Alligator mississippiensis: one gene and its partners. The protein of the gene in region 1 purifies or fractionates together with the protein of each later gene. This does not show direct contact. Links are inferred from orthologs where the notes say so. Each region holds a gene or a part of one and is shown in the gene's direction. Other genes may lie near its edges.

What was found.
Region 2: the proteins of SNIP1 (region 1) and NKTR purify together in Homo sapiens (affinity purification with mass spectrometry; 3 studies listed by BioGRID and IntAct, counting the BioPlex papers as one, with this or other methods). This does not show direct contact. The link is inferred for Alligator mississippiensis from reciprocal best matches to the Homo sapiens genes SNIP1 and NKTR.
Region 3: the proteins of SNIP1 (region 1) and ACIN1 purify together in Homo sapiens (affinity purification with mass spectrometry; 3 studies listed by BioGRID and IntAct, counting the BioPlex papers as one, with this or other methods). This does not show direct contact. The link is inferred for Alligator mississippiensis from reciprocal best matches to the Homo sapiens genes SNIP1 and ACIN1.

The regions. Positions count from the first base shown.
Region 1 is NC_081829.1:912,060-921,479, reverse strand, and holds the start of SNIP1 (smad nuclear-interacting protein 1), read left to right. Parts: upstream 1-5,153; 5' UTR 5,154-5,279; coding exon 5,280-5,437; intron 5,438-6,485; coding exon 6,486-6,588; intron 6,589-7,942; coding exon 7,943-8,523; intron 8,524-9,189; coding exon 9,190-9,420. Other genes in the region: DNALI1 (axonemal dynein light intermediate polypeptide 1), read right to left, coding at 2,250-2,414, 2,981-3,159, 3,825-3,994, 4,391-4,533, 4,768-4,848. UniProt on the Homo sapiens protein: Required for pre-mRNA splicing as component of the spliceosome. As a component of the minor spliceosome, involved in the splicing of U12-type introns in pre-mRNAs. Down-regulates NF-kappa-B signaling by competing with RELA for CREBBP/EP300 binding.
Region 2 is NC_081828.1:213,339,780-213,349,199, forward strand, and holds the start of NKTR (NK-tumor recognition protein), read left to right. Parts: upstream 1-4,662; 5' UTR 4,663-4,738; intron 4,739-5,185; 5' UTR 5,186-5,213; coding exon 5,214-5,271; intron 5,272-9,420. UniProt on the Homo sapiens protein: PPIase that catalyzes the cis-trans isomerization of proline imidic peptide bonds in oligopeptides and may therefore assist protein folding. Component of a putative tumor-recognition complex involved in the function of NK cells.
Region 3 is NC_081830.1:7,374,709-7,384,128, reverse strand, and holds the start of ACIN1 (apoptotic chromatin condensation inducer in the nucleus), read left to right. Parts: upstream 1-3,267; 5' UTR 3,268-3,390; coding exon 3,391-3,528; intron 3,529-5,049; exon of another isoform or gene 5,050-5,235; intron 5,236-5,469; coding exon 5,470-5,535; intron 5,536-5,649; coding exon 5,650-5,761; intron 5,762-8,165; coding exon 8,166-8,254; intron 8,255-8,401; coding exon 8,402-9,420.

The DNA.
Region 1 (9,420 bases):
CAATTGTTACATATGTCTCTACCCTAAACTCTGATTAAAATAAATCTAAAAGATAAACCCCATGCTGCTGAAAAGCAATCAATTGTCTGCTTTAGTTCCACAGTGAGGATGCTGGGGGATTGTTGCAATACTCCCAGGGAAGCAGGCCAAAGGGCTCTTTATTATTCCTAGTTATTTCATTCCTTGCTCCATGTTTTATAAATTAGGTTTTCATTCCTGGCATGCAGGCTTGTTGCGTTATGAGTAGAAAAGAGCTGGCCTTGGTTTCATGCAATGAAAGGCTTGCTTTATAATGTAAAGCACTGAAAAGGAAATTAAATAAAAGCTGTTGAAATAATGCTCTGAGTTTGCTAAGTTAGACATTTGGCTCTGTGGGGTTTGGAATGCAAGTTCCAACTCTGGGACAGAAGTATCTGGGAACAACAGAGGTTTTTTTTTAAAGCCATGGAGATAAGTTACTATACTAGATGAAGGAACTTGCTACCAATGCATAGGGAACGTGTGCTGAAAACTGCACAGGACCCATAGACTACCCTCATCCCTGAGCCATGCAGGATATGAACGCCAGTAAGTGGTCCACGTACAGCTTTCCAAGTAAGTCTAGTTCAAGGGAGCTGCGTGGATTTAGCGGCAAGATATCCTTGGCCAAATGCCTGCTGTGCTTTGGATCCACAGACAGTGCCGGATGGTCTGAAGTTAACTGATATTGTCTGAGCAAGTTAAGGGTGTAGGCGGGAGAAGGCAAAGGAATGCCAAAGATAAGCAGCTCAGAGAGCTGAGTAAACAGATCTAGATCTGTCCAGGAAGAGTTTGCATTGTTTTAAATAAACCATTTTGCCACAAGCATGAGTTAATTTTTCAAATGCAAATAAGTGCATTATCCTGGGAGTAGTTAACACACGCCCTGCTTTCATCCTGATTGCCAAAACAGGAGCGCTGTGTTACACAGTTGTTCTGTCTAAGAACGGGATTTCCATGATCCACAACAGCCAAAGGAAGAATGTCTTCATTACAGCCCTGCTCTGACTGCGTGCACCAGCAGCTAACTGGAGAAGAGGAAGGATGCTACTGATGACAACACAAGAAGTACGTTCTGAACCAAGCCAAGCAAACACTTGCTACCCTAGGAACCCAGGTGATGAGCCTGCACCGCTCCAGCCTCCGTGCTGCTTATGATCCATAGTGCCTGGAAGCCCCAAGACAATGCAGTGATGCTTCCCACGTGGATTTTGGTTCTGTTGCTGTTGAAAGACAGGGTTGGAAAGACAAGTATGTGGTGACTCACTCGTGGGATACGTTCAGACCTGAGCTGCTCTCCTTCCTGGGCTGCTAGTGGAAGGAAGCACAAGCTGAATTGAGATGTGCGGCACAAGCACCTATCTGAAAGCTCAGCACGGTTCTAGTGTGCACCAGGCAGAAGGGTTTGCTCCTGCTACCCTTCCTTATCTGGAAACCAAAGGACTAAAGGAATGTCACTTTACGATTTGTTCCCTATTACAGCGTCTTTTCTAAGGTTCTTTGCAACAAGAATCCTCCTGACCCGCAAACATACAGCAAGGCCTCTCTTGCCAGTGATGCCTAGCACCCAGTTCCCGCTGCCTGCTGTTACTTGGGTGAGGTCTTGGATAAGGATGGAAGAAAAGGCTCTATTGTGCCAAAAGACAGGGGTTTCATCCTTCTGGCAACTGTTCTCTTTACCGTGTCTCTTGGTGCAAAGAGAACTGTCAAGGTGTCAGACCAATAGCAAAGAAAGTCACCCTGTGGTCCTGGTTTGACTTCGTGGGACATCCTGTTCTGTTTTTAAACGGCTTTGAGGGAGCAGTGCATTCTCAGCAACTTGGTATTTTCTGCTCACAGCCACCTAAGGTAACTCTCAAGTCAGGTGCATGCAGGAACTTGGTCCTTGAGGAACTATCAGTGTTCAAGTGCAAACTCTAAGATCACCTAAAGATCTGTAAGCCTAAACTGTCTCTGCATCTCAGCCCCAGCTGGGCCTAATGTGTTCCCCACTCAGCCAACTGATCACCAGAAGGCTGGGCTCACTCGAGCTACTATTGCGATCGTCTTCCTCCTACAGAAGCGCGGGGAGGTTTGAGGGTTCAGCGAAAGCACAATGTTAGTGTCAGTTAAATTGGAACTTGGGCTTTTTTTATTTATAAGAAAGTGAAACAAAGACGCAAACAATATTTCCGTGTCTCCCTATCTTCCCACCACCACTTGCAGGTGGGAGTGGGGGTCTCTTTACTGACCTTCAGCTGCTGATTGGTTCGTTTCAAGAACTGGACCTCCTCACCATGCTTCTTCTCCTCTACCTGCCGCCTTTCAATTTCACGTTTTTCAACAGCTTCACATTTAGCTTTTTGCTCATTCACTTGTCTTTCCAGCTCTCTCTTCTCCTCTTCCAACTCTGCAATCTTTGAAATGAACACAGATCTTGCTTGCATTCATTGTTACACTTTGGGAGTACAATTAAGACACAGCTGTGTGTTTAACACTCTATGCGGCAATATAAATATTATATTATAAATAGGCCGGGGGGGGGGAGAAAAAGGTTTGTTTGGATGAGCTTTACTGCCATCCAGTGGAACCAGAAAAAACTGAATTGAGTGGAAAATTGAAATAACACGTTTATCTGTGAAATGGGAAAGTGACTCAAATGTAAGAAATGGGGATTCATAGATTCATAGATGTTAGGGTCAGAAGGGACCTCAACAGATCATCGAGTCCGACCCCCTGCATAGGCAGGAAAGAGTGCTGGGTCTAGATGACCCCAGCTAGATACTCGTCTAACCTCCTCTTGAAGACCCCCAGGGTAGGGGAGAGCACCACCTCCCTTGGGAGCCCGTTTTAAAACACCTGTCAGACTGCTCTAACACCTACGGCAGAATGTGATCTACCGAGCCTGAAAGACCGGGTACAAAGGTTAGCTCATTTCTCCCCGTGCAGAAAGGAGCACGCGGGAGCGAGCAGCCCCAATTACCTTTTTCTCCATATCTGCTTTGCCTTGCTCAGCCTGTAACGCCTTTCTCATGCCAAAGGCAACGCTGCTCTCGTACAGGGTCTGGTAGGCAGCAATGGTCATTCGGATTTCATCTCGGACCCGATGCAGCAACATTCCCCGCTCTATGCAGTTAATGGTAACTTCACGGATAAGTTCGTCTTTAAGCAAAAAAGGGCGGAAGTGAAGATGAGAGGGGGAAACGGATGTGGGCATCAGGAAAAACAAGGGCCTGAAGCAGCCCCCTGCCAAAGTTCCCACAAGAACTATAACGACACGGAGGCTTCTGAGGTCAGCGATTAGGCCTGAAGCTTCTTACTGGTAAAAAATGAACAGATCATCGGTAACAATCGGCACTCTCCCTACCCCTATGGCTGGTGCCTTCCCACAGTGTCCCGTGCTGGGCTGTGGCAGGCAGAGGACTAGCACGGTGTCACTGAAACGTTTAGCAAACTGCCTGGATTCATCTGTGAGTTACTGCAGCATCAGAGCGATGGGTCTGAATAAGTCTTTCGCTACCAAGCGAATCTGAAACAAACCCTGCCGATGCCCTGCTGCCACAGTAACGTCCTTGTAGAGCTTGCTTGTTCTAGCAGTACACCTGCGCGCCTGGGACCGACCCGAGACCCACAGGTGCCCCTACACGCAGTAGATGGTAATAACCTCTGTTCCCAACTGGCCGAGGCTGGACCACAGCCCACAGTATTACTGGGAGATCTCCATTTGCCATTCCCCCGAGCTCGTCTACTCGGCCACTTCCAGTGTTTTGCTCTCAGTCCCATGTGCCTTTGGCTCGTGCTGCTAGGGATCGGGAGAGCTCACTGACCGAAGCACTGCGAGTACAGCTCCCTGCGGACGGGGCAGATCCCGGTTTCTCGAGCCTGTCTTTGCTGCAGCTTGAGGTCCAGCTCTTCCTGCAGATGCAGCACGTCCATCCGTGTGCTGGGTGTACACGACACTTGCTGGATCCAGAGCTGATTGTCTTCCACCCATTCTCTGCACCACAAAACCAGCACGGATTTCATTATTAGACATTCATCGCCGCCTTTACAGCCCCGTCGCTGTAAGAGCGCTGGCCGCGACCAGCGACCGCTCGGGACCTGCCTCTGCAGGGGATTTAACCAAGCAGATCTCCGAGCAAATGGGAAGTGCTCGTTTCACGAGCGCCTCGGGGTTGTTCAGACGGCCGTGGCGTCCGCCCGGGGATGTGTGCTGCCCGGGGCAGTGGCCGGAGAAGGGCCGCGGATGCAAAGATCACAGGAGCGATCGGGCGAGAAACGCTTCGTGCGGCCGACGCGGGCCGGGCCGCAGGAACGACTGGCCGCGAGCCGGGTCACGCGCCGGGGCGCGGGGCGGCGACCCCCCCGCCCCTCCCCCCGGGGCCGTCCTCACCGCGGGGGCAGGATCGCGTTCAGCACCTCCTCCGTCTGCTGCTTCGCCTGCTCCGCCGCCGCGCACGGAGACCGCGCCTTGGGCGGGGGCGGCACCGGGCCTGGCACCGCCGCCGGCTGCGACAGCGTCTTCAGCGCCCGCGCCTGCCGACCCCGCCGCACGGGACGGGACGTGAGCTGCGACCGTGCCCCCGGCTGGGCCTGGCCCCCCCGACCTCCCCCAACCCCCCCCCCCCCACGCTCAATCCCTGCACACCCAGACCGCCCCTCCCCCTCGTGCTCACCCCCCTGCCCCCCCATACTCACCCCCTGGACCCGCCGACCTCCCTCTGCCCCCCAGCCCTCCCCTGTGCTCCCCCCACCCCCATGCACGCCCACCTTGGGGGAGCGCTTGTCGGCGTTGCGGGTGACGAGCGCGGGGGTCTCGTAGCGCACGAGCGAGTCGGGCGGGGGGATCATGGCGGCGGCCCCAGGCCCCGGCGCTGTGTACGGTCACCATGGCAACCCGCCCACCCGCCAGCCGGGACGCGTCGCAACGCCTCGGCGCCGTGACGTCAGCACGCTGAGAGGGAGGAGAGGGCGCATGCGCAATGCGGCCCTGTCCGCACGTGCTACACCTGGCGCTGTTCTCGGGGGGGGGGGGGGGGAACGCGCCCTCCCCTCCTCTGCCCTCCCCGGCGGCGCGAGGGCGGGCCCTGAGGCAGGGCCGCGGGGCGGGGCCTGGCTCCCCGGAAGCGCCGTGCAGGGGTAGGTCAAGCGGGAGCACTTCCGGGTCGGCGGGGATCCCTGGAAGCGGAAGTGGGCCATTGCTGCCGTTCACCTCCGGAAGCGGAAGTGTGAAGGCAGCATCCGGATGCGGCGCGGTGCCTAGGCCCGGCCCGGCCGCAGCCATGGAGGCGGCGGAGCTGGAGCGGGGCCGCAAGAAGCGGCGGCGGGAGGAGCCGCGGAGCCCCCGGCGCGCCCGCTCGGCCCGCGGCAGCCAGTCCCCGCCGGCCGACGAGGGGCGCGGCCCGCACCAGGCCGCCCGCAGCCGCGACAGGGCCAGCAGGTACCCCTCCCCCCCCCCGGAGAGGCAGCTGTGGCTACGGAGGCCGCAAAGGCGTTTCCCGCGTGTTTCGCGAGAGCAGGTCCACGCCGGGGGGGTTGGGGGGACGGGACACCGGGGCCGCGGGACGTGTTTCACTTCCTGTCGCCTCGTCCGTGTTTTCCCGACCGGACACAGCCCTGCCCTCCTTCCTCGGCCGGCCGGCCGTCTGTCCGCCCGTCGCGTAGCGATCAGCAGCGCGGCACCGTGCCGATCCACGTCTCCCCGACTCCGACCGGTTTAAAACGATCCCATCTCGAGCACCCCCCGCGCGCCTCTCTCACGTCAAGGCGTTACAATAAACCTGTCGGCGGTGACGGCTGGCGGGGGTCTCCGCGCCGCGGACGAGGAGCCGCTGGTCTCGGTCGTGCTTTAAAATGTTTAATTGTGGAGAGGGGTGTCGGCGGGGAGGGGTGTCAGTGGAGCGCTGGGAGGGGGCCGGCATCTCCCGGCGGCTACAAACCCTGTCCCGGCTCCCAGGCGAGCTGTACCCGCTCCGTTCGCTCTGGTGCCCAGGTCGCTCCTTGGCGTTGGCAGCTTTTCCTCCCTCTGAGGTTGACACTCGCGGCGGATTGCAGGCCGTCGTCGCGTCCCCTCGTGGCCGTGGCCGTGGCCGTGCCAGGCGACACGTGCCGCAGCTTTCCAGCCCCCAGGGTTTGCCCGAGTCCGTCCCCATCCGCGCCCCGGTGCGGATGCGCTTTTCGGGAGTGCTTGACCCCGCCTGGCAGGTGAGGCTTTGTGGTCGCGTGAAATCTCCGTTTCGACTGAAAGTGCCTCGTTTGAGAGAGACGTTTACGGTCGCCTTTTTCGCGGCCGCCTCGGCAGCTTCGTGGTCCTGCGCTTGCCTCGTCCACCTGCCTCTCTCCTCTGCTCTGAAGCCTCCAGCTTGTTAACGTCCATTTTACTAGGTCAAGCTTCAATCGCTGCTTAACCGCTGCACAAACGTACTTTGTCTCTGCGTGACGTGGGCCAGACAGCTCAGTTGTGTCGTGTTTTGTTCTGCTTTGTTAAGATCACCGGGCAAAAGAAAAAATAAATCCTCCAGTCGAAGAAGCAAGTCTCCTCGCAATCGAAGAAGCAGAAGCCCTCATCATGTTGTGGTCAAAGTAAAGCAGGTAATATATTTAACGGGGAGGTCCTGATCCTGCTTGTTACTTTGGCTATAACCTGTTGAAACCCCAGGGGTCCTGTGCAGCCATACAGAGCAGGTGTGCGGGTTAATTTGTAGCAGCAGGATCTGAAGAAGGTGGGGCGACTAGTTTCTTACTTGATAACCACGGTTTTTTTCATAGATTGTAAAGTCGGAGGGACCTCGGCAGACCATCGGGTCCAGTCCCCTGCACCAGGCAGGAAAGACACCTGGGGGTCAGGTGATAGTTTGATCGTTCGTAAGTTTAGAGTGTAGTTATCTTGCAGCAATGGGCAAAAGTACAGCCAGCTCCATCACAAACTCTGCCTCGAATGTTTGAGCGCTTGCAGGGATTACCTGTTAATCTGGCCTCTGTCACTCATGCAGCCTCGCCCTTTAAGCTGGTCCAGTTCCCCAGAATAGTGTTGACACTGGGGGAGGGGTGTACAGCACAGCGCAGCGTGTAGCGTGTTGAATTGGGGCCTCTCGGCAGCAATAGAAAGTAGTAGGATGCTTCCAAACAGGCATGTGCTTGCTCTTCTAAAGGAGATCCTTCCCTCTCCTGTCCTGTTGATTAAATCACTAATCATTTAAAACTGGAATTGCAGAACAGTGGCATTTGTGTGGGACCCAAGATTTGGTGCATTGGGAAATGAGGTGATTCACGAACAGATTCTCTCAAAGTTGTTGGTGTATTAGGATAGTAGGAAAATTTGTGCTACTGAGTTTTGGGTGGGGAGTAAGACGATGAGCCAGAAGATCTCCGAAGGAGTCGTCATTTCTGCAAGTGTCTGTAGTGTGGAAAGGAAAAGGAATAAGGAAATTTGAGAGTGTTTCTAAGTGTTGTGTTAGTACATATCAGCAGTAGAGTAACACTTGTTAAATTTGGCTGAATTAGTGTTTTACCATGTGTGGAAGTGACAGAGCTGTTTGTTATCTAGTACTTTATTGTGAGACTTCAAACTGTGCTGGCCAACGATACTTTTTGCCCTCTGCGTACGCAGCACCTAACATGATGGCACCTGAATCATTTTTGAGTTACACTAAGACAGAACAGCTAAGAATTAAGGAACTTCTGATTTTAGAGTAAAATCATTTAAAACCAATTCTGCCTGTGTTTCATTTCTGAAACTTGAGTTCACAATTATTTATTCAGTGATCATTCAGTCAGTCATGTTATCAAAACTTAATTCAGCAAAAGTCTGTATACAGCGTGTGTTGAGTCTGTATGTTTTCTCATATTAAATTGTGATTTGTTTTTCTAAAGACTAAACAACATTCCCTGCCTTTTCTTTCTCCCTTAATTCTGAATAGGTCACTCTAATGTCTTTTTGTTCCAGGAGCGAGATGATCATTCCCGCAGAGGACACGACGAACGAAAGCACAGAGACCAGCCCGAACAGGAACACAGACGAGAGCGAGACAGACACAGAGACCATTCGGACAGAAGGAAAAATTCCAGTGAAAGGCCTGGAGGTCGAGGTCACGAGAGAGAGAGGGATTCCCAGAACCTCCGTGAGCAGCAAGCAGAGAGGGAATTTAACGATGAGAGAAGACGTGAAAATCGACAAAAGAACGAAGCGAGCAACCCTGAACTTGGCAACCCTGAACTTGGCAGATCAGACAGTAAAACTAAAGACAAAGAGCCAGCAAACAAAGAGAAACCAAGCTTTGAACTGTCTGGCGCACTTCTAGAGGATTCAAACACTTTCCGCGGCGTCGTGATTAAATACAGCGAGCCCCCAGAAGCTCGGATTCCAAAGAAACGATGGCGTCTCTACCCCTTTAAGAATGACGAGGTGCTCCCAGTCATGTACATTCACAGGCAGAGCGCTTACCTCCTGGGCCGGCACCGAAGAATTGCCGATATCCCCATCGACCATCCATCTTGCTCCAAGCAGCATGCTGTGTTTCAGTATCGGTATGTATTCACTGCACCCGTCTGGGGGGAAGGTTTATGCTGGGGGCTAAAAGTGAAAGCAGTTGTGTTCAAGATCCTTTTCATCCAAGCAAAGCTGTAAATGATGCCTCCTATATCAGCAATAGCTGAATGCTAGTACCAAATAGTGTGTGCCATTTTAAGCAGCAGTCATGTCTTTCCTCGCATCTAACCATAAGCAACCTTTAAGTAAGGCAGGTTGTAAATCGGGCGTGCAGGTGAGCTGGTGCAGTAGCTGGAGCGTGTCTACACTGCTTCCGTGCTGTGTTTGGGGAAATCATGATACAAGAAACATGCCTCACCTACTCGTGCTGCCTCTGGATTAGCCACATCTTGGAAGTGATCCAATGTTGCCATGTTAGAGGAGCCCACAGCCTGTGCCCCAGTACTGGTCTGGGGCACGCTCATTGGTTGGCACTCAGAGCTCTTCTAAGATGGTGACGATGCTGCATTTTGAGGGTTGGTGCAAGTGGGCAAAGCATGCTTCCAGATGGCACTTCCAAGATTGGCCTGGAGCCCCCCGCCCAGGCAAGGAGTAGCACTGGGGTCAGGGAGCTTTTTAGCAACAGTTGGCCAAATGAGTGCATGAAGAGGGCAGGATGCATTTCAGGATTGTAGGTAAAGAGGTGTCTTTTTTGTTTTTGCCAGGCTTGTGGAGTATACGCGGGCTGATGGTACAGTTGGCCGCAGAGTAAGGCCTTATATCATAGATCTTGGCTCCGGCAATGGTACTTTCTTAAATAACCAACGGATTGAACCTCAGCGTTACTACGAACTGAAGGAGAAGGACGTGCTGAAGTTTGGGTTCAGCAGCAGGGAATACGTTCTTCTCCACGAATCTTCAGATAAATCCGAGGCAGACGCGAAGGAGGAGGAAGT
Region 2 (9,420 bases), on another chromosome or scaffold:
GGGGGGGGGTGGAGCGTCTGCAGTTGGTCTGGGCTCTTCCTGGATGCAATACTAAAGAAGTCAGAATTTCCATAAGCTAAAAACATTTAACTACAATGTCAATGGTCACATCTAAATCAATGATTCAAAGACACTTCCAACAACAAGGAATCGCTCACAATTTGAACAATTTTACTCCAGCTGTTTTGGCTACAAAGCTGTTCAAAGAAAACTTGCCAAGTACGTCTTACAATTGGAAAAGTTTCATTTCTGCGCACTCCTGGTTTAGCGACCTTCAGATCAAGTTTGTGCAATCACCTTTAAGCTGTCAATGTGACTATTCGCGTGCATCATCAGTCCTACCCACAAATATCTGCTAAACGAGGTTTTCAGATGCTGAGCAAACTTGATTCAGCTGTTTCTAAAATCAAGATGGGGCCAGAACTGTCTGCGGAATTAGTGCTCACACCTGGAAAAAATCATTAAAAAAACAAGGGCAGTTTAGTTTTAAGACATAACAAAAATAAAGAGTCAGTTCTTCAACCAGAACTGTTGTGATCAGTAATGTGTGTGCAACTTCTGAATTTCATGCTCTTTGAAATCTAAGCAAGTTTGGCATTACTGGCATTAGATGGGCACACGATCAGTCCTTACAGGTGTGTCTATACTGCAGAGCTGGCTAATTAGGGCCATGGTAAACATCGCACATCTACATGTGCAGTGCAGTTAGGCCTCAGCAGACTAATAAACTCTGCAGCAGGTTAGCACTTGTAAATACAAGTACTTTCCTGTCGCTGAGTTTTTTACTCAGCAGCACCACACGAGCCACGTGGCTCGGCAGCTGCAGGAGGCTCGTGGTGCAAGCAGCTCCTCCACCGACTGACGGATCCACCCAGAGCCCAGGGCTGACCCCAGAGCCTCTGCCAGCCCAGGGCTCACTGCAGAGCCAGCTACTCACCCAAGGCTTTGCCTTGGAGCACTGTGCCAGCCTGGGGTTGACCCTGGAGGCTGCCACCAGCCTGGGCCTCATCCCAGAGTCTGACCACTGCCACCCAGAGCCTGGGACTCCCTGTGGCTGCTGCAGAGGACAGAGCAGGAGCAAGAGCAGCCCTGACCTAAACTGCTCTGCCCTGGCTCAATTTGCTGCTGTCCTGGGTGCATGTGTAGACACTGCACCCGGAAGTAGTTTATGAAGGAGCAAATTTCTCTGCACATTGAGCCACATAAATTGCAAGTGTAGATGCATCCTATTTTAGCTAAAGAAGCACCTGCAGTAGCTTCTATCAAAGAAGGAAGAAGAATATTTCTGTGTTACTCGTGTACCTGTTTCATCATCTGTAAACACCGGCCTAAAAATGCATGCAGTTTTTTTTTTTTTTTCTTTATTTAATAACTTTTCCTCAACTGAGCTCAATATTTATCAGCTTCAGTCCTGGATATGATTATGAGAGCTCAGCTCTCAAAGCATCCAATCTTCTAATGTAGTTCTTTATTAAAATAATTGAGGCTTGAAATTAACTTTTAATTGCTTAGAATCTGGTGCCGCCCACATGCAAAGTGAGTAGCACATTTCCAAGCCTTTTATGGTCTGTTTGTTTGTTTGCCTTTAGCCAACAACTCAGGTTCTAACTGAACATTAAATATTGCAGGAAGGGGGAAGGAATTGGCACAGAAGTATTTCAACTATGGGGAAAAAAAAGAATAAGGACATGTTGTATTTAGTTATTTAGAAGGAGATCTGAATGTGCTGAGATCAAAGGGACAGAGAAATTACCTATGGTATACTGTGGTCTTCAAATCTATTAGGTTCCTCATTCTAGTCTATTCGTTTCTGAAGCACTGCAAAAGGCTGGTGCAGGCATATGGTAAGGGAATAGTCAGACCAAGGAAATGTATGCTGCTTGTAGGGCTGGTTAACAGCACGGCATTACACGCGTAGGACTCATCCAGACTGGGGCCCAGTGCAAACCCCCAATGTCAACGTGCTTCCCTGCTGCAAAGGAGCACTTATAATTGATTGCAGCAGTAGATGCTTTCATCTGACACTGGGGCAGAGCATCTAAATAGTATATTGCACCCACGCAGGTCTCACCCTCCCTATAGAGATGCGCATACACACAGTCATAGATACAGGCACGCTCATTCCCACAAGGGCTACATTTCTGTGTCGTCTTATTTTTTTTAAGAAATGGTATCATTGCTCATGTTTTAGCAAACACGCCGTGTTATGTTCAGCTTTGGAGCTGTGAACAGCATTGTGTTTTCGGTGCACAGATGGCGACGATTTGTAAAATCACTTATGCTTCCCTGCTGAGCAGTTACTAAAAAAGAACAAGGGCATCGAGCACCTTTATTTCTCACCGGGGTTGTGTTGTCCACCTGGCAACCGCAGCAGCCTGGTCTGCTGCGGGAAATGCTCCACCAAGCCCTCCCTTTAGGGCAGGAGAAAGCGTGTGTTTCATGACGCTGCACACGCGTGTCTGGTTCCCAGCGCTGCCGTTTCTCCTCTAGGGATCATCCCACTTCTCTCAGGCCCCGGATTTGCCGTCTCCGTTTCTTGGCACCACTGCAGGGCGGCAAAAGCCAGCAACGAATGGAGGGGTGCTTGCGGGGGTGCATGGGGGGTGTGCGTGTGTGTGTGTGTGTCTGATAGACATGGGGGTACTGCGTGTGTGTGACAGACATGGCGTGGGGGGACAGTGTGAGGGTGTGTGACAGACATTTCATAGGTTGCATAGACATTAGGGCTGGAAGGGACCTCGGAAGATCAGCGAGTCCAGGCCCCCGCCCAAAGGGCAGGACGTCAGCTGGGGTCATAGGATCCCAGCAAGATAAGCATCCAGTTTCATCTTGAAGGTGTTCAATGAAGGCGCTTGAACCACCTCCGGTGGCAGGCTGTTCCAGACCTTGGGGGCTCGGACAGTAAAGAAATTCTTCCTTATGTCCAGCCTGAAACGGTCTTGTAGTAGTTTGTGACCATTCGTCCTCGTCATCCCTTGGGGCGCTCTGGTGAACAAACCATCCCCCAGATACTGGTGGTCACCCCTGATAAACTTGTAGGTGGCCATCAGATCACCCCTGAGCCTGCGCTTTTCCAGGCTAAAGAGCCCCAGGGCTCTCAGCCTGTCGTCGTAGGGTCTGCTTCCCTGAGCTCTGATCATGCGCGTGGCTCTTCTCTGGACTCTCTCAAGCTTCTCCACATCCTTTTTGAATTGTGGAGCCCAAAACTGGACGCAGTACTCCAGCTGCGGCCTCACTAAGGCCGAGTACAGGGGGAGAATGACGTCCCGGGATTTGCTTGAGAAGCATCTATAGATGCAAGCCAGCGTTTTGGTCGCTTTACTAGCCGCAGCATCGCATTGCAGGCTCATGTTCATCTTGTGGTCAATGATGACCCCCAAGTCTCTTTCTTCCATAGTGCTAGCCAGCATAGCACTGCCGAGCCTATAAGGATGCTGCGGGTTTTTCTTCCCAAGATGGAGAACCTTGCATTTATCGGCGTTGAACACCATCAGATTCTTGTCCGCCCACTTGCTGAGCCTGTCCAGGTCAGCCTGGATCATCCACCTGTCTTCTGTGTGGATGCTTTGCCCAAAGTTTGGTGTCATCGGCGAACTTGGCCAGTCCGCTTCTGACTCCAGTGTCCACATCATTAATGAAGATGTTGAACAGTACGGGTCCAAGGACAGAGCCCTGGGGGACCCCACTGGTCACAGGACACCACGATGAGTGACTTCCAACAATGACATGGGACAGTGTGAGAGTGTTTGCATGTGTGTGCACATGTGTGTGGTAGACAGAGCATGAGGGAGAGTGTGTGTGTGTGTGTGTGTGTGTGTGTGTGATAGACACAGGGACAGTGTGTGTGAGATAAATATAGCATGGGGGACAGTGTGCATGTGTGTGTATGTGTGTTAGACATGGCATGGGGGACAGTGTGTGGGTGTGAAAATATGTGTGTGGTAGACAGAACATGGGGACAGTGTGTGTGTGCGTGATAGACATGGGGGACAGTGTGCTTACGTGTGCTAGGCATGGCATGGATGGTTTGGGTGTGGTGTGTTTGTGTGACACGGGACAGTGCGTGTGAGAAATATAGGATAGGGGAGTGTGTGTGTGTGTGTGTGTGTGTGTGTGTGCGTATGATAGACATGGTGTGAGGGACAGCGTGGGTATGTGCACATACGTGCAGTTGTGTGGAAGACAGCATGGGGGGACAGTGCGTGTGTGATAGAAATAGTGTGGGGCAGTGTGTGTGTGTGTGACACGGGGCTGTGGTAGTGCACACTGCGTGTGTAAGACATGGATGGGGTGCACATTGTGCGTGTGTGTGACACGGGGTGTGTGGTGGTCCACACTGTGTGTGTGTGTGTGTGTGTGTGTGTGTGTGTATGTGAGAGACACGACACAGCGTGTCCACACACGGTGGGAGCGCGGTGCACTCTGGGTGTGGACGACCCGTGATGACGCGCTGCCCCTCCCCCTCCCTCATTCCAATGCCACAGAACGGGGCGGGCGAAGCCGCGCGAGAAGTGCGCGTTCTCGCGGGATTACAGCGTGGACAGTCGCTCCCCCTCCCGGGCCTGGCGGCGCTGGGAGGTGAGCAGGGAGCGGGCAGCACTCTCCCCCCCGTGCGCATGCGCGGGCCCGTTCCGGTAGCGCGGGGGGAGCGGCCGCCCTTCATGGCGCTCGGCGGCGGCTCCGTTCCGGGCTGGGGGCGGGGGGGCGGGGAAGGGCAACAAAGCGCCGCGGCCGCCAGGTGAGGACCAGGAGCCTCCCCCCCTCCCCTCCCCGCGCAGGGAATGGGCCTCATCCCCTCCCCCCACGGGGGGGGGCAATGGGAGCCCGACCCAGCCACACCCCCTCGTGGGGCTGTGGGCCAATGGGAGCCCTCCACAGCGCCCCGCCCACCAATCAGGGGACAGCAGGCTGCTTGCCCCGCCCCCGGCTCCTGGGGTGGGGGTGGGGGCACTCCAGCTTGCATTGCCCCTGCTCGGGGTAGGAGGAGGGGAAGGGGGGGTGCATGTATGTCAGTGGGGGGGGGGGGCGCGTGTGTGTGTGTGTGTGTGTGTGTGTGTGTGTGTGAGTGGGAGGGCGTGCACACGCGTGTGTGGCTGGAAGCCCCGTGCTATAAGCCGTGTGCGGAACAGGGGGGCTGGGAGGAGGGCGCCTGGCTCACCCTTTCCCTGCTCTCTCCTGTGCCCAGGGCATGAGGCCGGGAGACGGGGGCTGCCATGGGCGTGCAGGACCGGCCCCAGTGCTTCTTCGACATCGAAATCAACCGGGAGCCAGGTAAAAGCGGGGGCATCCTCCCGCCCCTCTGCCCTGCCTGCGGGCAGACAGCTTGCCCTTCGAGAGGGGGAAGCACTGGCCTTTTGGCACCCGATCGAGCTGCGCAAGCCGTGTCGTTTTGCAGAGAGGTCGATCGGCGCGGGGCGGTTTGGAAGTAGCGGGGGGGTAATCCTGCCCCAGCCTGGGCTTGGATTAGATGTGGTCCCTGGAGGGCCCTTCCAGCCCTTCTCCCCGATTCTGTGATTTAATATGCCTTGAAGAGCAGCAGTCCTGGGTGGCTTCCTAAACGTGGTTTGGCTTGTGTCTCGTTCCGGCGCCTGCAAACCGCCCAAAAACGAAGAAAACTGGGGAGAAAATTACAGCCGTGCAGTTTATAAGCTCCTAAAGCGCATTTACTGCTCTCCTTAATGCGGGTCGTGGACGGACTAGGTGGCCTAATTGGTTTCTTTCATCCCTAGCTCTTGGTTTTCATCATCGTTGTTTCTGGCTCAGATCAAGTGTTAACCTGCCCTTCGTAGGTGATCTAAGTTTTCGTCCTAGCCTGGGGGTTTTGCGGGTATAGTCTTCATCCTATCTCTTCCCCGTCTGCTAAATGGTGGTATTTAATCTTTATGATAACAGCTCTTATAGGCATTGAAAACCACGCAATTTTAGCTATTAGTGCTTTCCTGTACACCCCTACCGAAATAATAAAAATTCTTGAGGCTTTCAGTTTGACTTTTCTGTGATTTCCTGAAAGCTTTTAACTTCAAAATAATGGCTTGGATCTGTTCCTCCAAGCCCCCCCCCCCCCCCTTTACTTCTATATGCAGGGGCTAATTGAGGATATGTGGGTTGCTCCCAATTTTTCCTGAAATCTTCTGGAGTAATCTCTGTATCTGCAGGAGATTGTTATAGTAAGCACAGTCAGCACCGCTCACCGAAAAAAGCACTGTTCTCTTTACTGTTGTACTGTTCCAAAAACAGGTGACGGTGCATTAAACAGAACTTCATTATTCCCGCAACTTCAAATTTGCTCTTGAAATTGAACGGGGAGCGTTTGTTTATAACATCATATTTAGGAATTAGGGGTACTGGGGTGCCAGTGTGTCTCCAGTTTTTTGTCTAGTGGGTTCATAACTAAGTGATACAGTTGCCATCCTAAAGTTTTTGCTTCTTCGTTCTTTGCTCTTCTTTTTGTTTCTCCAGTTCTGGAGTTGTTTATTGGATCACATTAGTTTTTGGTTTCTCTGTTCTTTTCCTGCTTTGTGTCTCTTCCTTCAGCCACATTTCTGCTTCCATTTTTATGTCCCTTGCTACCTTCCCTGCCCTTTCTTATAATCATTTGTTTTGCATCCACAGGAAGAAATAGAGTACCAAGCTGCCGCTTTCCATTCCTGGCTGGCTTCGGTTGGTAACGTTCTAAGAGCGCACAAAACCGTATCCAGCTTTGATATCACTTCATATTAGTGGTGCTGAGATGCAATACTTTTATATCCAGCCTTTCCGCTTAATGCAGAGCTTGGCTGTATAGAGCAGGGGTAGAGTTTTGGTCCTGTGCAGTGCTGACTTCATTGCTTCTCTAAAGTTGAATGAACCCCACAACTACACAGCAAGTTGAAACCTGGCCATATAGTTACTGAAACTGATTAATGATTTACAGTTTTGGGGGGAAAACCATGCTGACTTGCAAACATTAAGTTCAGGTCTTATAAAGATGTGGTTCTCTCCCTTGGTGTATAATTATCCTCCTGAGTTTGCCATAAAATTGTGCTTTGAATCCAAGCTTTCATTCGAAATAAATAAATAAAGTTAACTCTGGAGCCCTGTTGGTTGCAAAGATAACCTGCAAAGTCTGAGTCAAATATAAGCACTACAGCAATGTGTGCACACACTGATAAACAATGTGTACTATTCTTTCTGTGTTGGTAAGATATTAATTCAGCAATCTGATAAAAGCTTAAGTGTCAAAATAACTAGTGATTATACCAATTTTTAGTATTAATATAACGATAATGTGCTTTTTCATCATTGGGTTTAGGGAAGATGTTGGGGAGGGAAGCACTGATACATTTAGTTATCAAAGTTGCAGTAGTGGGTAAACAAACATCAGTTTTCTTCCTCCTATACTTATGGATTTTTAAAGTGACTTTCTCCCGGAAAATGGAGGAACTGGATATCGTCTGTAGCATCCAAAGCTTCATCTGTCTCCTGGATCTTAACATGCGTAGTTTGCTATAGCTTTGTGGTCCTGGTAGCTCCAAGATGTCTTCCACGTAACAACCAAAACAGACAGCCTTCCTTTTAACAGGCTTTACAGAGAAGTTATTCATTGCCACCACAGGTATCTGCAGCAATTCAACATATGGGAGCAGTGTAAAAGTGATTTTAGTGTTTAAAGTAGATAGAACATCTCCCAGGCCAGCCAGTATAGCATCTCTTGTAAAGGGGCAGACAGATTGGAGTGGACTCCCCTGCCACACATTTAGATCTATAGTACAAATAATACAAGGGGCAGGAGTTGTTAATAATAATAATAATAACAACAACAACTCTTTTAGCCATTATAGCTTAATTCAGGTAATTTAATACTGATCATCATAATTTCTATTTTACCAATAGGTTCTTGAATTAAACTTTTTATGGCTAGTATTTGCACTATGCTATAGATTGTATTCCATGGCTGTCCAGCTGGCTGCCTGTGGGTCGCACGTGGCCCATGACAGGTTAGCTATTGACGTGGCCCATCCAGCTATTGTTCCCCTCATTGCTTTGACTGCAGCTGGGGTCTGCAGATTCTTTCCCCCTCCTTTGGCTTCTGCTTCCTGCGCCTGCCCCAGGGGTGGTGCAACAGCTTGCAGCGCAGGGGCTCAGGATGCCTCTGCAGTGCAGCTGGGGAGCTTCTGTCTAGGTAGATGAGGGGTACGGTGCTGGAGTATGTGTGCAGCATGGTGCAGCTGGGGGGCACGTGTAAGAAGGGGCATCCATGCTATGAGGGAGCTGGGGAACCTGTGGCTCATGCTGGTATAGTCCACGTGGCATGCAGCTCCTAGCTGCTTACAAGTTGGACGGCCCTGTTGTTGTTTCTTTCAGCAAGCTTTGGAAACCAGTGTTTTTCACTGCAACTTGAAATTTTAATTACTGCCAGGAAGTTTGTTTTGTATTTCTTTGTCATCATGTTTGGTGTGTCACAAAACCAATTGCAGTATAAATTGAAAGTATACCAAGAACGAGCACTTTACTTCCTAGTTATGCTACTAAAATAAAATAATACAGCTTATTTGTTCTTGGTATTCTTTTTTACCTTTTTTTGTAAATCTAATGGGGAAAAATACTAAATTGTACAAAACATGAAGATAGACTAGTTTACAGGACTTGTTTACCCTGATAAATCTGGAAGGGTGGTATACATGCACTAAATATAATACTGTAATTTAAAAACCCAGAGGTCAGTTGTGTTTTAATGCCCTAGATATCTAAAGTCTCTTTATCCAGTCTCTTCATCCTCTGGAAAGCATATGTCATTTAACTGTCTCATTTGCTGTGTCCCATTCCTGCTTTTTCCCCTCATTTCAACTTATTTTTGTCATTCTTAGTCTTGCTTGTTCATTCTGATACTCATTCCAGTTTCCATTTTTTCTCTTCTCATTTATCCATCCTTCCATGTGGGCATCCCCAGTCAATCAGTTTTCACTTCTTGTTCAGTCCCTTTTTCTTTCTTCTAGCCTTATTACACCTGGTGTGTATGCTTTAGTATTTAGCCACTAGAGTCGTACATGCTGCCTTGGTGGAAGTAAGTGTTCACCATTGCAGATGCATTTGGGAAGTAATAGGAAGGGAATTATGCTCTGGGGTCTTCACTTGTCTTTCAGGGGGCAGATCAAATGACTATGAGAATTAATAGATGAGATGTCTGAGACTGCAGAGTAGAGAGCTGTGCTCACCAGCAGTCTGAGTGAAACCCTGCAGAGATTTGAAATAGAGTATATAAAGCAAATTAAGGTTAGTAACTCAAATGGAGACTTAAACAGAAATTGATGCTTGGAGAGGACAGAGTAGTATTTTCTTACATTTTCACATAACTTACTCATTTGCAGAAAAAATAATTTTCATAACCCTAGTCATCTTAAAGTACTACTGAATCTGGTCACGCTTGTGGGTAGCACTGAA
Region 3 (9,420 bases), on another chromosome or scaffold:
TTCGCTGGTGGTGAGTGGTGATCTTGTTCTGTCATCGCCATTGACATGCCCTAGCTTTTGCTGTTCACTATTACGTGGCTATGTTATTCTCTGAGCACCACTGTTGTGTCATGCTTCTCTGCTATGGCATTGTTAATTGACCAGCATCCTGTCCCCATCGTTCACTATAGGTGGGGTGGCATTATTATTCTCTGATTGCTATTACCGTGTCCCAGCACTTGCTGTTCACTATCAAGTGGCCCCATTGTTCTCTCTCACTTATCTACTGTTCACTTGCGTGTGGCATGGTTAGTCTGTGACCATAATCATGCCCCAGCTATTTGCTTTTCTCTATTGTGGTGTGGTACTCTTATTCTGAACACCTCACTATTCACGACGGTTGTGTTGTATCATTATCCCATAATGAAAACTGTTGGTGCTGGTCCTCTCCTGCGCTCATGACTGTTGTGATGCATGCATCTGCAGCTTCCTCATGGTTTGTTCTGTGCTCACAATTGCCCTGCCCTATTCACTCTTGTTCACCATGGCTCCATGGCACGCTCGCTCTGCACTCATGCCTGTTGCATGCTGCTCACTTGTGCTTTCAGGACACGACTGCTTTCTGAGCATAGTGCCTCTGTCGTGTTCACTATTGTCTGCTCGCTATTGTTCCTCATGCAAGGATATCCCTGTTGCTTGCTGTTGTGATGGGGCATCACTGCAGAGTGGGTCCTGTATGCTCAGCCACGGCCCCCCAGACTTGGCGCTAGTGACCAACCCTGGCCCGGATGCCTGGGTCCTATTCTTTCCTTTGGAACAATTGTATCTCAGACAGCAGGGTTCCCTCCCTGGAGTGTGAGACCAGACCCAGACTCCTGGGTCCTGCAGAAGCTGGGTTGTGTGCTGTGAGAGAGCTGTCACAGATGCCTGGGTTCAGTGCACCCTACCCTCCCTCCCAAAACCAGGGGGTTGTGTAAGGCCGGATGGTTTCCCGTGGTCGGTGTCCCAACCTCCGGCCCGGTGCGGGGGAGGGTAGTGGGGGAAGGTGTGTGGGGGAAGGAGGGAGGCTGGGGCACCCCTAGCTGGGGAGCTCCATATTTGCCCCCCTCCCGCCTCTCTACCCCCAGGGCTCCAAGCTGCCCCCTCCCCCCCAGGGCATCCCCTCCCCCCAAACCACGCCCCCCCCTGGGGCAGGAAGCAGCTCAAGGTGAGTGGAGCTGATTACGGACTCTTGAGAAACAGGCCGTTACCCCGGGGCCATGGCGTAACCGGGGCCCCCCCAAGCGCTTGCGAAATCCCCCTCACCCCCAAGCCCTGGGCATGGGCACTACTGGGCCCCTGCCTCCCCATGGTCTGCTGGCCTGAGGACCACCCCGGCCCTATATCTAAATAGGCCCCACACCCAGCCCCCCACCCATGGCTGGTGTCCCCCAAGCTGGGCTCAATAGTGGGGGTCCCCACATCCTGAGACCTCACATGCAGGGGGGGAGGAAGGCTGACTGCCCCTCCCCCATGCAGTCTCTAGTGGGACAGGGACCCACCCCCAGCCAGAAGGGACAGCTGCTGGGGGAGGGGGAGCCCCTGGGGTTCATGGTGTCTCTGTCTTACCCTGCCCCCCCTCCAAGTCCTGGGTTTGGATAGAGCTAGGAGAGAACCCAGGAGCGCTAGCTCTGCTCCCATCCCCCACTCCAAGCCAGCAGGCCTCCCTCCTTTCCCAGACCTGGGAGAAAGAACCCAGGCGTCCCAGCACCCCCGACCCCCACCACGCACACAAACACAGACTGATTCCAGTCCACTCCCCTACCTGAAGCGAGAGCCCAGGTGCCCGGCATCTCCTCCCATTGCAGCCTTGAGAAAAGACCACACGGGGGTGCTGTGCACCCATTCATGGCCCTTTGTCATTCCTAATCAAGCCAATGTATTCCTGCTCCTCTTTCCCTCCTCTCTTTGGACTCTGGAGTCCCTAACTGGGGTCCTTCTTTCGCAGGGGATACCCAAAGTGGGGGTGAGGCCATGCACTCCACTCAGTGCTCAGTCACTTCCTGTAGGTCTTAGGTAAACAGGGGGCTCGGGTGGAATCAAGGAGATCCCAAGGAGGAGGGTGGAGATCCCTTAGGACCCGGCCCCACTGGCGCCTCATGGCTGGTGAATTAAGGTAAGCCCTACATAAATGAAGGGCAACTTCCTACAGGCCCTATGTACACAGGAGTGGTTCTGGGGAAGCCAGGACTCTGCTGAAGATCCAGCAGGGGTGTTACTGGGCTCTTGGTTGCCCTGATTGTCAGCTTGTCAGGTCTAGAGAAACAGGCCCCTTCCTACAGGTCCCATATCAGTAAAGTGACTTCCTGTAGAATCTATGTAAATGCAAGTGGCTTTGGACAACCCCAGGCTCTGAGACCCAGGGTGGGGACTCCTATTGATCCCCTAAGCTGCCAACCCACACTTGGCCCCAAACAGGCCAACTTCCTGCAGGCCCTATGTCAACAGACAGCACCCCTGCAAACACAACTGGCTTTGATGGAATGAGGACACCACTTGGGCCCCAAGGGCAGAGCAGGGGTTTCTTACTGGTCTATTGGTTCCCCAAGCTCCCAACTTCCTAAGGCGGGCGGCAACATGCCAACTTCCTGTAGGCGCTACTTCAACAGAAGAGGCTTTGATGAAAACGGGGGGCCCCATCTTGCGACGTGGGGGGTAATGTGTGTGTGTGTGGCACTGAGTGGGCTCTTCTGGCTGCCCAAGCACCCAGCTTCCTGTTGGCTGCATGTAAATGGGGAACTTCCTGTAGGCCCTACACAAACAAGGGGGCAACTTCCTGCTGGCCCCATGGAAAGAGGGGACCCGGGAACTTCCTGTAGGCCCTACATACACAAGGCAGCAACTTCTTGCTGGTCCCATGGAAACGGCCAACTTCCGGTCTGCTCTACTAAGTAGGGGGGGTCTCCCTCTTGGCTTCGGACAGGCCCGAGCTCGTCCGGAAATGCCCGAAGAAATCACACCAAGGGAACCAATGGGCGCGTTCCGGCAGGGCCCGAAGCTGCTCGAGCACTGACGGAAGTAGCCGAGCGCTTTTGGCCCTCACTTCCGGGTTGGCCCGAGCTCCTTCCGCCCCCCCTTTTCCCTTTTCCCTGAGTCGCCCCCGGAAACTGCCGAAGCTCACTTCCGGGTGTGCGGGGCCGAGCGGAGCACGGAAACCCCCGAGGAGCCGAGGCGCGGGCGGAAACATCCGACGCGGGCACTTCCGGGTGGGCGGAGACAGCCGAGGAACGCCGGAAAGGGCCGAGACCGGGTAGCGGTGAGCCGAGCGCGGCCCGAGGCGCGTCCGGAAGGTGCCGAGGCTAGTGCGGAAGGTGCCGAGCGGGTCCGGAAGCCGCCGGAGCGGGCGGAGGGAAGGCAGCGGCGCCACACAAGATGGCGGACGGGGAGGAGGTGACTCTGGACGGGAGGCCGCTCCACATGCTGCGTGTCGCAGACCTCAAGGCGGCTCTGGAGCAGCGCGGTCTGGCCAAGAGCGGCCAGAAGAGCGCGCTGGTCAAGCGGCTGCGCGGGGTGAGGCGGCGGCGGCGCGAGGCGGCACGGGGTGCAGCGCGCATGCGCCCGGGGAGCCCTCCCCCCCAACCGGCTGGAGTGGGGGGCCCGGGCGCGGCGGGCGGGGGCAAGTGCGCATGCGCGGCGGGGCGCGGGGCTCCCCCCGAGAATGAGGGGGTCCAGGGGTGGGAGGGCGTGGGGCCGAGTGCGCATGCGCGGGGCTCGCAGGGCTGGGGGGATAGGCCGGGCCCTGTGGGGCCTAGGGGCCGTGGGGTACTAAAAGTGTTGCTGGGGACTGGTGGGTTTATAGAGTTGGGGGCTGTAGCCTGTAGAATGCATGGGGGGCTGGAAAAGGCTGCAGGGGTCTAGGGGTGTTGCAGTGGCGGGGGGCTGGCGGGGCTGCAGGTGTCTATCGGGCTGGGCATTTCTTGCAGAGTTGCAGGGCTGGGTGGCCTGAATGGTCCCGGGGGTGGGGGCTGCAGCCGGGGAGGTCTGTAGGACTGGAGAGGGTTGTGGAGGCTGCAGGAGTTTGTACAGAGTTGGGGGTTTGCGCCTGGCTGGTCTGGGGAAGTCTGTGAGGGGCTGGGACTTTGGGGGTCTGTGTGGGCAGGGGTGCTGAAGGTGCCCATGGGAGTTGCCTGCAGACTTGGGGGACTGGGTGGACATCATAGAAGGCAGTCTGGATGTCCTCTATTGAAGAGAAAAATAGAGGATATAAAGGCGCATAGGGTTTTGTATCAATAGAGGACAGAGTAGCAGGAAACTGGAATGTCCTTTACGATGGCCACCCTAGGCCTAAAGGGTCTAGGGGGGGTCCATGGGGAGGAGGCTGAAGGTGTCAGGGGGGCCTGGAGGGGGTACATAAGTTCAGGGGCTGGGCCTGGAGGGTCTAAGGAGGCTTGGAGGGGCTATGTGGGGCTAGGGGTCCTGTAAGGGGTATTGGTTTGGGGACCTGGCTCCCCCAGTTGGTATGGCCAGACCCCCATGGAGGGCTGGAAGGTGCCAGGCCAGGGCCCACAGGCGCGTGGTTGGTAGAACACAGGGCTGCAATGTCCAAGGGCTTCAGCTGGGCAACAGGAAGAGCTGGAGTTGAGCGTGGGGGGCAGCAGGCTCTGGCATCCAGCTGACGGGGTTCTGGGTGGCAGGGGCTTGGGCATTGGCTGGGGCTGGGCAGGAGCAGGGGGTCAGATGAGGGCAGGGGGGAGGAAGATGTTAGGGCTGCTTGGTGGTGGAGGTAGGCCCAGTGGGGGAGTTATCTGGGGCACAGTGGATCTGTGGTCATGCACCTGGTTGTGGGTGGACTAGGCTGGATGGGGGAATGGGTCATTGCTTCTGTGGGGAGGAATGGATGGGGAAGGGTGAGTGAACCTGGGGTATGGGTTGGATTGGTGGGAGGGTTGGGGTTGTCTTGAGGCTGGATTGGATTGGGGAAGGAGGGGTTTGGGGTTGCCTTGGGGCACTTTGTTGGATCGGGGGGTTGGGGTGGGTTGGATGAGGGGGGTCGGGATGGCTGCAAGCTGTGGGTTGGATTGAGTCATGAAGGGCGAGTCAGGGCAGATATGGTCAGCTGGATTGAGACATGGGGGAAAGGTGTAGAGATGGATTTACATGCTTCGTGTTCTGTGGCCTGAGGGTCAGCGTGGGTGGTGACGTGTGTCGGGGCAAGTATTGGATACGGATGGGTTTGGGGGCAGGTCAGAGCCTGGAGTATTGGGGCCGGGATCCTGGGTGAGTCGGATCATGGGTTGGGGTAGATACTGGGGGTGTGTTGGATTGTGGAGGTTTGGGTGGACACGGCTGCATTGCATTGGGTGCTAGACTTGGGGGTGGATCAGCTCAGGTCATGCAGGGCAGCCTGGATGGCATATGTGAGCAATCCAATGATGGGCACCGGGGGAGGGGGAGAAGGCACAGGGACCATCTTGGGGGCACATCTCTGACCCTGCCCTTTCCCTGCCCCAGGCACTGATGCTCGAGAACCTCCAGAAGCATTCAACACCACACACCACCTTCCAGCCCAACTCGCAGGTGAGAGGCCCCCTCACCCCCAGCCTCTCGAACCGCCAGGGACCCCAGCCGAGGGGGGGAAACTCAGGTGTCCGGCCTTGCTCACGCGTCCTGTCCCATCCCATCCCCCTGCAGATTGGTGAGGAGATGAGCCAGAACAGTTTCATCAAGCAATACCTGGAGAAGCAGCAGGAGCTGCTACAGCAGCGGCTGGAACGAGAGGCAAGGGAGGCAGCTGAGCTGGAGGGTGAGTGTGGGGCTGGGGCAGAGCCTAGCTGTGGGGTGGAGGAATGGGTACTTCCAATTGGCTGGGGCTCACATGTCTGCTCAGCCAGTGGGCATTGGGCTTCTTCGGGGCCTGACTGCAGGAGAAATAGGTTCTTATGATTGACTCAAAAGAGCCCCTCCCCCATTGTTTCCATTCCTCCCTTCCCAAACAAACAGAGATTTTCTTTTGGCTGGAATCTCTCCAAGCCCTAACCAGCGGGAATATTCGTTTCTTTATAGTTAGTGCCAGAGGGCAGCAGGGAAAGCAGGGCCCTGTGATTGATTGGGCACCAAACCTATTCATTGGGTATCTGGTTTTATCATTGGACCCTTCCCAGCCTTGTTTTTCTAGTCACTGATGTGGATGTTGCCACCTAGACTAGGAGGAAGGGGCTGGCATGGCTTTAGGTCAAGTAGCAGCCCAGTCATGGGTCCTGGAAGGACGTTTAGAGGGGAGGGATCCAGAAAGAGGAAGGGTTGGCTTGTCTAGGGGAGGATGAACAGTCTAAAAACCATGCTGTGGGATTTGCTCTGAGGAGCTTTGCATGACTTGGAACTCAGCAGCAGAGTCTGGAGCCTTGGGACACATGGAAACCTGTCTGGCAGTTGAGGTCCTGGGTTGAGATACCTAGAACATGTGGTGCTCTTTAGCTCTGAAGCAGGACCTGTGCTGTAGTTCTAGAGCTGGGGGGGGGGCTCAACCTTTGGGCTCTGTGGGCCAGATTGGGCCTTAGGGCCTGGCACAGCCCCTCCGTGCTCCCCATGCACTAGGATTGGGTCTCAGGGGACTAGCACCGCCCCCCTGCGTCCTGGATTGTGTTCCAGGGACTGGTACTGCTCTATCCTGTCCCCCAAATACCAGCATTGGGTCCTGGGGTCCAGGTACCACCCCACTTTTCCTTCCCCCGTGTACTGGTATTGAGTCCTGGGGAACTCGGCATTCTCTTGCCCCCCATCACCCAGTTGTGGCACCCAGCAGTGCTCCCTTCTACCCCCCCATTCACTGGGATTGGGTCCCCAGGGAGCTGGTATCAGCCCTCTCCCACCCTGATTTTGAGTCCCCGGGGCCCAGTGCTGTCCCTCTTTGGTTTTTGCCTGCCAGCGCTGGGGCCCTAGGACCTGGTGCTGCCCTTGTCCAGCTCTGCACACCACCACTCCCCCAATGCCAAATTTCTAGGCCCTGCAAGCCAGATGACATGGCATTGTGGGCTGGAAGTTGAGCATCCCTGTTCTAGACCATCATGTGTTCTTTGCTGATCTTGAATGGCAGGGTTCAACCTGTCCAACTCCCTGGGCCAGATTAGTGGTTCGAGGAGCCACAACATGCGACCTGCTGGGTTCCCTGTGGGTCCAGAAATTGTGTGGTGGTGTGGGCATTACTTAACCCCAGCCTGGCTTCCCTGCTGACACGTGAGCACTGCTGAGCTAGAACATGGGCAGCTTCATGCAGGGGTCAGTTTAGATCCAGACTTCTAGCTCTGTCAGCTGGTTTTGCAGCGGCCTTCCCCACTCCCACGATCCTTTGCACTAACATCAGCAAAGCAGACATTTCCTTTGGCTAGATGATTTAGGGGCCATGTGGGGGCCACTAGCGCAGAAAAAGGGGCTGTCTGTCCTAGAATGTAGGTTCTATACCATGTAGCCATGGAGAGGAGTTGTTCTGCAGTAAGCTATGTCCTTCTAGAGGCTGCACATTGCACCTTCTCTCTTGGTTCAGAATGAAATATGGGGTCTGCAGAGGTGCAGATACTCCAAATTGAAGCGGGGAGGAACAGGGAAGTTGGATCCTGATTCTTGTACCTTTTTATGCTCTGAGTGCTGGGTCTAGAACCCAGGGCTCCCCATTGCAGAGTCTAGGACCCTGGGTGAGCCCTGTTCTGGGGGGGGTCTAGAACTCAGAGGATGTCTCCTGTGTGCCCTACAGCCCAAGGGGGCTGTTGTGGGGGGTATCTGGAACCCAGGGGGTATTGTAGGGTGAGGTCTGCAGGCCAGGGTGTGCTTGTTGCACAGGGTCTAGAATCCAGAGGGACTGTTGGGAGATCTAGAACCTAGAGGCACTTGTTCTGGGGTGTCTAGGTCTTGGGGGTGCCTGGTTTGGGGAGGCTAGAAACCAAGGGTGCCTGTTGCTGGAGAGTCTAGAACTCAGGTGTCTGTTGCTGGGGGATGTCTCCTAGAACCCAAGGTGCCTGTTGCTGAGGGAAGGGGGGGTCCTGGGATGGGGTCTAGAAGGCAGGGGGTGCCTGTTGTGCGGAGGGTTAGAGGATGCCCATTTGGGGGTTAGAACTTAGAGGGCCTGTTGTAGGGCCTAGAACCTTTGGGATGTTGTGTGGCTTAGAACCCGGGTAGTCCCATCTTTACAGCTCCCTTGTGTTTCACTCCTGCAGGTAAAGCCTGTTCCATTTCCCACGAGAGGGAAGACTCTGACGAGGACGGGGCCAGGCGCCAGGAGCGTCGCTCCACCCGGGTGAAGCAGGTGAGTGCTCCATCCCAGGGTGTTCGAGTGGGGGGCATGATGCCTGTGGGAGCAAGGCAGAGGGTTAACATGGGAGATGGGAGGACACAGGCAAGAGGGCAGGCCCTGGCTGGAGCTCCAATCTCTCTCTCTCTCGCTCACTCACAGGCCCGCGCTGCTAAGCTCCCGGAGAGTGCCCAGGCCGGGGGCCGGGATGAGCGAGAGGTGCCCCCCAGGGGTCGGCGGGGTGCAGCCCGACCATCTGTCAAGGCAGCCACTGAGGAAGATGAGGAGGAGGAGGAGGAAGAGGAGGACGATGAGGAGGAGGAGGAGGAGGAAGAAGAAGAGGAGGAAGAGGAGGAGGATGTCAAGGAACAGCCCAGGGCCCTGGCCCCTGTGCAACAAAGCGGGGCGGCTAGTCTGGGAGTGCCCCCAGAGACCGAGGACCTGCCAGCCCCAGCCCTGTCTGCATTGCCTCAGCTGCCGGACCGGGCTGCCTCTCCTATCCCTGTCCCCCTAGAGCCAGCTATTTTCAGCTCCTCAGGGCTTCAGGAAACGGGGCAGCCTGTTGCCTCAGAACCAGAGGGGGCCCCATTGGCAGGGCTGCCTGACACAGGTGTAACCAGCCCTAGTCCCCCTGAGCTCCCTGAGAGCAGAGCAGTGCCAGCCCCCCAGGAGCCAGGGGCACCCCCATCCACAGGCCCCCAAGAGATGGAGGTGGCTGGTTCCCTGATGACCCAGACCCAGGCTTCCCCTGTGGGGCCAGTCATGGCCCCCAGCCCAGGCTGTGAGGTGGTGAAGGAAGCCAGGCTCCAGGATGGGAAGAAGGGCCCTGAGGAAAAGGGCCTAGAGGGCCCCCCTGAAAACCTAGCAGAAGAGGGGTCATCCATCCCTGCCCCCATATCTACACCCATCCTCTTGCTGGAAGCAAGAGGGTCCCCGTCACCCCCCCGGCTCACAGAAGGAGCATCGCAGCTGGCCACCCCTGGGGAAGAAGAGCCCCCTCCCCCACTCTTGACCAAGGAGCCCCCTGCCACTCAGGAACGGCTGTCAGGGAACCCCGGCATCGGGGATGGCTCGCCCTCCCCGCCCCCCCGGCGCCGACGGAGAACCCGCTCAGAGTCCTCATCCTCCTCAGACTCCGCCTCCTCGCGGGCCAGCTCAGCATCTCGCTCTCGCTCCCGGTC